Linked DNA regions of Cricetulus griseus. The protein of the gene in region 2 interacts with the protein of the main gene of each other region in a biochemical or structural test. Links are inferred from orthologs where the notes say so. Each region holds a gene or a part of one and is shown on either strand. Other genes may lie near its edges. The genes, in order: Arf5 and Arfip2.

Evidence for each region.
Region 1: the proteins of Arfip2 (region 2) and Arf5 form a complex in vitro, tested with the Homo sapiens proteins (2 studies listed by BioGRID). The link is inferred for Cricetulus griseus from reciprocal best matches to the Homo sapiens genes ARFIP2 and ARF5.

Annotation. Positions count from the first base shown.
Region 1 is NW_023276806.1:199,367,764-199,371,671, forward strand, and holds the start of Arf5 (ADP-ribosylation factor 5), read right to left. Parts: upstream 2,862-3,908; 5' UTR 2,764-2,861; coding exon 2,697-2,763; intron 2,176-2,696; coding exon 2,095-2,175; intron 1,578-2,094; coding exon 1,468-1,577; intron 1,111-1,467; coding exon 1,039-1,110; intron 589-1,038; coding exon 463-588; intron 343-462; coding exon 256-342; 3' UTR 1-255.
Region 2 is NC_048596.1:94,062,830-94,066,737, reverse strand, and holds the start of Arfip2 (arfaptin-2), read right to left. Parts: upstream 2,139-3,908; 5' UTR 1,989-2,138; exon of another isoform or gene 1,884-1,988; intron 1,209-1,883; 5' UTR 1,167-1,208; coding exon 1,068-1,166; intron 849-1,067; coding exon 752-848; intron 89-751; coding exon 1-88. Other genes in the region: Timm10b (mitochondrial import inner membrane translocase subunit Tim10 B), read left to right, coding at 2,286-2,315, 2,463-2,558, 2,722-2,898. UniProt on the Homo sapiens protein: Plays a role in constitutive metalloproteinase (MMP) secretion from the trans Golgi network. May have important functions during vesicle biogenesis at certain cargo subdomains, which could be predominantly utilized by secreted MMPs, such as MMP7 and MMP2.

The DNA.
Region 1 (3,908 bases), on a different chromosome or scaffold from region 2:
TCCCCTGGAAGAGGGGGCCTTGGCCAGGAAGCCCATCCACAGGTCCCAGCAGGCAGGAGAGCAGAGCCCTCTGTGCCCAGAGAGCGAGGCTCCAGGCTCCCACGACAAGAGAACATGCAGGCAGGAGCAGGAGCAGAGGCCTGTCTGTGGGGAGGAGGAGTGGGAAGGAAGGGCACTGCCTGAGGAGTCCGGGAGTCTGGTCATCCCGGGATGCACGCGGGAGCTTCCGGGCAGCAGGGGCCTGCCCCTGGCTGGCTAACGCTTTGACAGCTCATGGGACAGCCAGTCCAGCCCATCATACAGGCCCGTGCCTTGGGTAGCACATGTGGCCTGGACATACCACTGTAGGAAGAAAGAGAGGTAGATCAGCATCAGGGAAGACAAGGAGTACCTTTCTACCTTGGTCTAGCCTGGGGATCCTGAGAAAGACCAGACCCAGTGCAAAGGGGACAAGATCCTTACCGTGCGGCTACGCAAGTGCTGAAGCCCCAGCTTGTCAGTCAGCTCGCTCACAGGCATGGCATTGGGCATGTCCTGCTTGTTGGCAAACACCAGCAGCACGGCATCCCGAAGCTCATCCTCCTGCAGCTGAGACGGGAGAAGACAGGGTGGAACTATGGCTGCAAAGACCCTGGGCCCCCTGCTGACTATGTTGTAGCAGGGTTCCCTACACAGAGTACTATGCAGCTTATTGCTGAATAGAAGGCAGTTATAAATGAGCGCAAAGCCCCTAAATTTTACCCCTAAATTTTACCTCCAGAAAGCCTTCAAACAAAATGCAGAACATTAAAAAACAAAGAAAAACAAGAAACATGAGAGGTTGTTTCTCTTTACCACAGATAACCCCTCTTCCTCTCCCCAACTGCTTAGACTCAGACAGAAAGGGATTTAAATGAAAAAGTCCTGCCAAACTGGGTGAGGTGCAACTCATCCAGTGCCACAAAAATCTCCTATTCCCCACCCACAGAGTACTGGACTTCCATACCACCTCAGAGAACTGTTTGTCACCAAGCTCAGTTCTCTGATCTGGACACTCACCATCTTCTGCAGTTCATCAGCAGACTCCTGGACCCGCTCTCGGTCATTACTGTCTACCACGAAGATGAGGCCCTGAGTGGGAAGGAAGAAAGGAAGCAGGAGAGATCACGCCCACCTACGCCCAGCCCCAATGTGGCTTCTTCTCATTTCTCCCATCTTTAGTGGTATGAGCCTTTCTCATCCAGTACATTTCTATTAAGGATCTGTGCCCCAAAGACAGAGGGGACAAACAAAAAGATGTTCTGTTTGAGAGCTAGAGGAGGCAGCATAGCCCAGAACCCTGCCTCCCAGAATAAGATGAGGGTGAGTTCTTAAGGAGGAGTTCTTAAGGGGAGAGGGATGAGGGCCCAGGACTCAGCCAATACTTCATTCCAGGCCCGTCCCACCCTCTCCCTGGGGTTGTCCCTCTACCCTCGGTCCCCACCCCACCTGAGTGTTCTGGAAGTAGTGCCTCCACAGAGGTCGAATCTTGTCCTGGCCTCCAACATCCCAGACTGTGAAACAGATGTTCTTATATTCCACTGTTTCCACATTGAAGCCTGCAGACAATGTTTTTGGAGAGAGAGAGAGAGAGAAAAAAAGTCCTGAAAGGAACTCACTAAAACCACTTGGATCAGCTCAGCAGTGGTGGCACACCTTTAATCCCAGCACTCAGGAGGCAGAGGCAGGTGGATTGTGAGTTCGAGGCCAGCCTGGTCTACTGAGAATTCCATGACAGCCAAGGCTACAGAGAGAGACCCTGTCTTGAAAACAAACAAACAAAAACAAGAAAACAAGAAACAAACAAACAAAAAAACCCCACTCGGATCTCTACAGGCACACAAACTCAGGGGGCAATGACCAAGGCCAATGGGAATAGAATCCAGAAGGACCGGAGGTCAACAGATATGCTAGGCTCATGGTCCACGCCTCAGGCACCAGCAGGCACGCAGAGATACCGTGACCCACTTCTCAAGTAGCTGTATCTGGTGTCAGGGTCAGGAACAGATAAGGGCCTCAGCAGCACCAGGAGCAGACCCCGAGAAGGCCCGAGGCGACATTCGTTCCCGGGCTCACCTATGGTGGGAATGGTGGTGACAATCTCCCCCAATTTCAGTTTGTACAGGATGGTAGTCTTGCCAGCCGCATCCAAGCCAACTGCAACGGAGAGGGGCACAGAATGGAGACGGGAGCGAGGGAGCCCCCTAGAGACCAGGGACAGGGAGAGGACTGGCCAGCTGATGGTGATGGGGGCGGAGAGCGGGAGAGCCTCCAGGTGCGAGCCGTTCTCCACCTTCCGGGCCTTGAGGGCAGTCTGGGTGGCGAGTGCCAACTCCTGCCGCCCAAGCGGCCGAGGGGCGAGAGGGGCAGGAGAGGTGGGGGGCCCGGGAGGAAGGCCGCGTTCCTTTGAAAAGTCGTTTCCAAGGGCGGAATCCTCCCTGCTTAGCAGCCGGGCTGGGGCGGAGGAAGCGTCACCCCACCCAGGCCCCAGCTCCGGGTTCCAGGCCCGGGGCGGACACCGCAGATCCCGGCCTGCACCCGAGCGCAGCCCCAGAGGCTCGGGCGGTGGGGTGTCTCGGGGTCAGGGTACCAGGTGAGCGGGGCTGGAGGGACGCGGGGGCGGGAGGGTTGCGGCGGGGCCGGCGCCCCATCCGGGCCGCGCGCTCGATCTGCCTCACCCATGAGGATCCGCATCTGCTTCTTCCCGAAGATCCGCGAAAAGAGCGCGGACACCGTGAGGCCCATGGTGGGGCCCGGGGCGGGGGCGCGGGCAGGGACGCGGGGTGAGGGCTGGAACCGGCCGGTCGCGGGGGGATGGGGCGCAACAGCAGAAGGAGGAGGCGCCGCCGCCGCCACCGCCTCCGCGCGTCCGGGCCCGCCCGACGTCACGTGGCCACGCCCCTCCGGGCCCGCCCCAGCCCCGCCCCCAAGCACGTTTGCGGAAGAACTGAAGTCTAGCGAGGCCTGGCTACCTTTCCCTGGCCGAGGCTGGAAAGGGCGCAGTAATCCTGGGTCTTAGGACCACTGCGGGATTTTGCTATGTTCTTCGGTCATAGACTTGAATTCCTAAGAAGGCCCTGACAGGTTCGAAAAATAGCTTTAAAAGATTCTCAGAGTAGGGGCCGCAGAGACGGCTCAGAGGTTAGGAGTACTGGCTCTTCTTCCAGAGGTCCTGAGTTCAATTCCCAGCAACCACATGGTGGCTCACAGCCATCAATAATGAAATCTGGTGGCCTCTTCTGATGTGTGTATACATAATAAATAAATCTTTTAAAAAAATTCTCAGAGTAGTTTATTCTCTTTTGTTTGGAGACACTGTGCCCACTACGTCACTAGCTTTGGGTGGCCTGGGACTTGCTGTGTAGACCCGACTAATCTCGAACTCACAGAGATGCGGCTGCCTTGGCCTCCCGAGAAGATTCTTAGAACAGAAATACTCTCTTCATCCCTGTTGTCACTACTATTTCACTAGTCTCTTTTTATGCCTGAGTCTCCTCACAGGCTTCCCGCCCCCTTGGTGCCTTCACAATGTCACAGGAGCCTTGCTTTTTAGCCCCTCCCCACTTTTATTTCTCGTGTGTGTGTGTGTGTGTGTGGGGGGGGCGTGGTGTAGAAGTCAGAAGACAACCTCCTGTGGGATGTGTTTTCTTCTTCGGCCATGTGGGTTCTCTTGATAGAACTCTGGTCAGGTCGTTGGGGCTTGGTGGAAAGTGCCTTTACTGCTGAGCCATCTTACAGGCCCCACAAGAGTCTCGACGGTGTCCTCTTGAGATTAAATCTTTTAATGTGTCGACGCCCGAGATGAAATGCCTTTAAGTTGGGTCCTACCTGTTCCAGCCTCATCAGTAGCTGCGCCTCTCTCACCCCACGCTACTGTTTAGGAATGATTC
Region 2 (3,908 bases):
ATGTCAAACTTCTCTCCGGCGATGCCCCGGGCCACCTCATCACCAGGGCCAGAAGGTGAGGTGCTGTGAGATGGATGGCGGCCAGACCCTAAAGGATCAAGTTCTCTAACACCAATTTCTCTCACATACAATCAGATACTTCTGTGACCTCACTTCCTTCCCTCCCAGCACATGAAATGACCTCTCTAAAAGAGGAAATCTAGATAACTGAATTCTTCTGCTCATTAGGGGGAACGGGGACTTAGGTCCCGAAAACCAAAGCAACTCAATGTATGTATTTGGCATTCCTGGGGTCGTGTAGGAGTGTTGTTGGGTGGACAGGGAAGGAAGAAACAGAAGCAAACATGATGAGTGGGACTGGAAGGGTCAAAGCTGGTGGGCACAGAAAACAGGGAAGCTGGTTTGTATTTCCAAGTAGAATTTTAGTCAGTATAAGACTCTTATAAAACTCTGAGAAGCTTCACAAAGTTGTAAATCAGCCTTAAGCTGCAGAGCTCTTGTGACTTATAGGTCTTAACTTGGCTCAGGTGGTGGCACCAGGGAAAGAAAAGACAATTGAGAAAGCTAGAATCTAAATGGCAAGTGGGAAGCAGATGATGAGCTCAGAGAGCTGATCTGGGATTGGACAGTCTATGGATTTCACACTAGCAGTTCTCAAGTTTCTCCAATCCATGATTCACGCTTTCCTATGTGTTCTATGTGCCTCCTAGTCTCCCTCCCACTCAAGCCTCCTGTCTCTTATCATTCATACCTGTGGGGATGAGTCCATCACCAGAGCCCCCATAGCCACCAGACACAATGCTAGTTTCATTGAGGTTGGGTCCTGACACCATCACCTGCTGGAGGTCCTATAGATCAGAGAAGAGGGGGCACTTCAGGAACATGGGGGTGGCTGAAATATTTTGGGGATAGAGACAGTATATAGTAAAGTCTGTATAGAATCATAATGACGACTTGAAAACTATAAGGAGGACTAACTAAATGAAGTCTATTGGGATGGGAAAAGCGAAACATTCAAGAGTCAGGATTGCTAAATTGAAACAATTAGAAGAATCAAACAGAAGCACCTGCTCCAGCCCATCGTCTTCAGGAAGCTGCCCAGCTTCACCATTTCCATGGATTGGGATCTCCATTGTGGCTGCCTTCCCTAGGATCCCGTCCGTCATGGCTAGGGAAGGTACTGGAGTCAAGGTCTCCACCCCAGCACGCTGTAAAGCCCAACACAGACAATTCTGGAAACTGGCCAGCACTCCAGAACAAGGAGGCCTTCCCTGTGTTCTAATAGGTTTCAGGGGTTGTCTGTTAGGACTTGGGTGTCCCTGGAGATCAGCCCCTACTTTCCTGGAGATGTGTATTTCTTCTCTTCCAAGTACATTATTTCTACAGATGCATGTATACCAAAGCCTTGGGTGTCTTCTCACAAACCCCAACCTCACCTTTAGTAACCTTTACACATTCAGTCACTCAACAAACACTTAGTGAGTGCCTACTATGCGTCAGATACTGAGGCAATGGGATTACAGCAGTGAGGGCCAGAGGGGAATGTCTGTGCTCTTTGGGAACTTGGCCCTGCATAGGCATGTTTACCAGAAGGCAAAACCCTTTCCTAGACTCGGATGCTCACTTGCCACTCAAGCATGCTCTGCAATCCCTGGTCTTTCAAATCCTTTGATGTTCCTTCCCCTCTTCCTTCAAATGGTCTCTCCTTTCTCCATCTCATGCACCTGCCTCCCTCAGGCCCTCCCCACCAGGCCTTAGTTGAAGCAGCTGGTGTGTTCCCGGTGTCAGTTAAAAGCTTCTTTCCCAGGACACAGGCAGTCCCTTCCAAAGTCAGTTTATGCCTTCCAGATGTGAGAGGTCCCCTCCACCACCCCCCCACACACCTGGGCATCAGGTGTGTCCTCATCCTTGCCAAGGGCTCAGGGCATCTTGCCCTCCGCACAGGTTCGTGCATTCAACTTCCTTTCGTACAAGTATGTCCTTCTCACCTGGGCCGGGCCACTCTTCCCCTCAGGGCGCGAGGGCCGGACCGCGCGGGGACCTCGGGTTCCAGTTCCCGTCGCGATCTTAGCAGCAGGTCAGAGATTCGGCGGAAGTGACGTGCCCTCTGGGCAGAAGAAGCCGGCCACGTCGCAGAGCAAAAGGGCGGAGGTGACGTTAGCAGACATGGGCTGGGCGATACTGGAACCACGCCTTGAAGCTCTTGGTGACTAGGGAGAATTTACTTCCGGGGTGACTCCGCGCCCCCAGGGAGGAAGTAAAGTGGGCTGCGTGCCCCGAGCGTGATGGAGCAGCAGCAGCAGCAACTAAGAAACGTGAGTAAGAGCTAAGTTGTTCTCGGGGTTAGACGTGCGGTTTGTTTTCTGGGGTACATGCAAGAACCCCCAGTGGGGAAGGCAGGCTGCACTGCGCACGCCAGGAACCCTCAGCGGTGGTGAAGCCTTGATCCGCTTTTCTCTTAGTTGCGAGATTTCCTGTTGGTCTACAATCGGATGACAGAACTGTGCTTCCAGCGCTGTGTGCCCAGCCTGCACCACCGAGCTCTGGACGCTGAGGAGGTGGGGACTGTGGGGACCCCAGAGGTTGACAACGTGACGTGTCCACCTCCCACCCCCCGTTTGCATCTCGGTCTCCCATGACCTCACCCCTAGGCTGGGGCCCCGGAGAGGAGGGCTTGACAGGACCCCTTTTGGTCTCTGCTTACCTCTGTCTTCCTTCCAGGAGGCCTGTCTACACAGCTGTGCTGGGAAGCTCATCCATTCTAACCACCGCCTCATGGCCGCTTACGTCCACCTCATGCCCGCCCTTGTCCAGCGCCGCATCGCGGACTACGAGGCTGCCTCGGCCGTGCCAGGTGTTACTGCAGAACAACCCAGAGACTCGCCATCAGGCAGCTAGCCATCGCCTGCCCCAGGAGAGAAGGTGCTTGGATGGGCTCCTCTATGAACCTTGGGCTTGTCGAAATTTGTACAGAAAGATTGAGCCTGAAAGCTGGGCACTATTGCTCCTTTTCTTGGAGCCAATAAACCGGGTTTTTACTCTGGTTGATTTTCTGGGCAGGAATTTATTTATGTCCACTTATTGGTACCAACCTTTATTCTGCCATTTAGTGCCTATCTTCTCCCCTCAGCCCTGGCAGTTGAGAAATTGCCTTCTGTAATGTAGTAGGACAAACTCAGCATTCTCAGATCCCCAGCAAAAACATAGTTTTAAGGTTAGTAATAGCAATGGGAAATTGGTTCCAAAAGGGGAGCTCTCAGTGGCTATCCTTGAGCCTAACTCAAATGCCTGAATATATATTGCATAATAACTAGTTTTCTTCTGAGCTGTAATACAAAAAGAATTGTGCTGCATCTAGGGGAAGAATGTGATATCAGACAACAAGAGGAAGAAGAAAACAGCACCACAATAGGCTTTAGCCACCAATTCTTAGGAGATCAAAGATAAGCCTGTAAGAATGTGGGAATATTGTCTAGAATTTCAATCATTTCCCCAGTTTACCATCTTAAATATTTCCTGTCTTTGTGAAATCAGCAATAAGGACTTTAAACAAAGAAGGGTTTTCTTCTTGTCTTCAAGGCAAGTCAGAAGGCCTACATTAGTCAAATCTAAAGAAGAGAAATCAAAGGGAAAGGTAGATGGTGATAGAGGGGTGGTTAAATATAATCTGTGTGGCTCCTAATGCTTCCTTAGTGTTTCACTGTTTGTCTGGAATCTCCTAATTCCAGCTCTCTACCTTCCATCTTACATTGTTCTCAACCGTAACTGATCCAGCCTCTCTATTCTTGTTTTGTTACTGCCCCCTCATTTTGTGGGGTTCACATCTGTATTCAGGAGGATACCTCCTTTCCTGGCCCTGCCTTTTCCGTGATGTCATCTCCAGTATGAGGACAAGGAAGGAAGGAGGA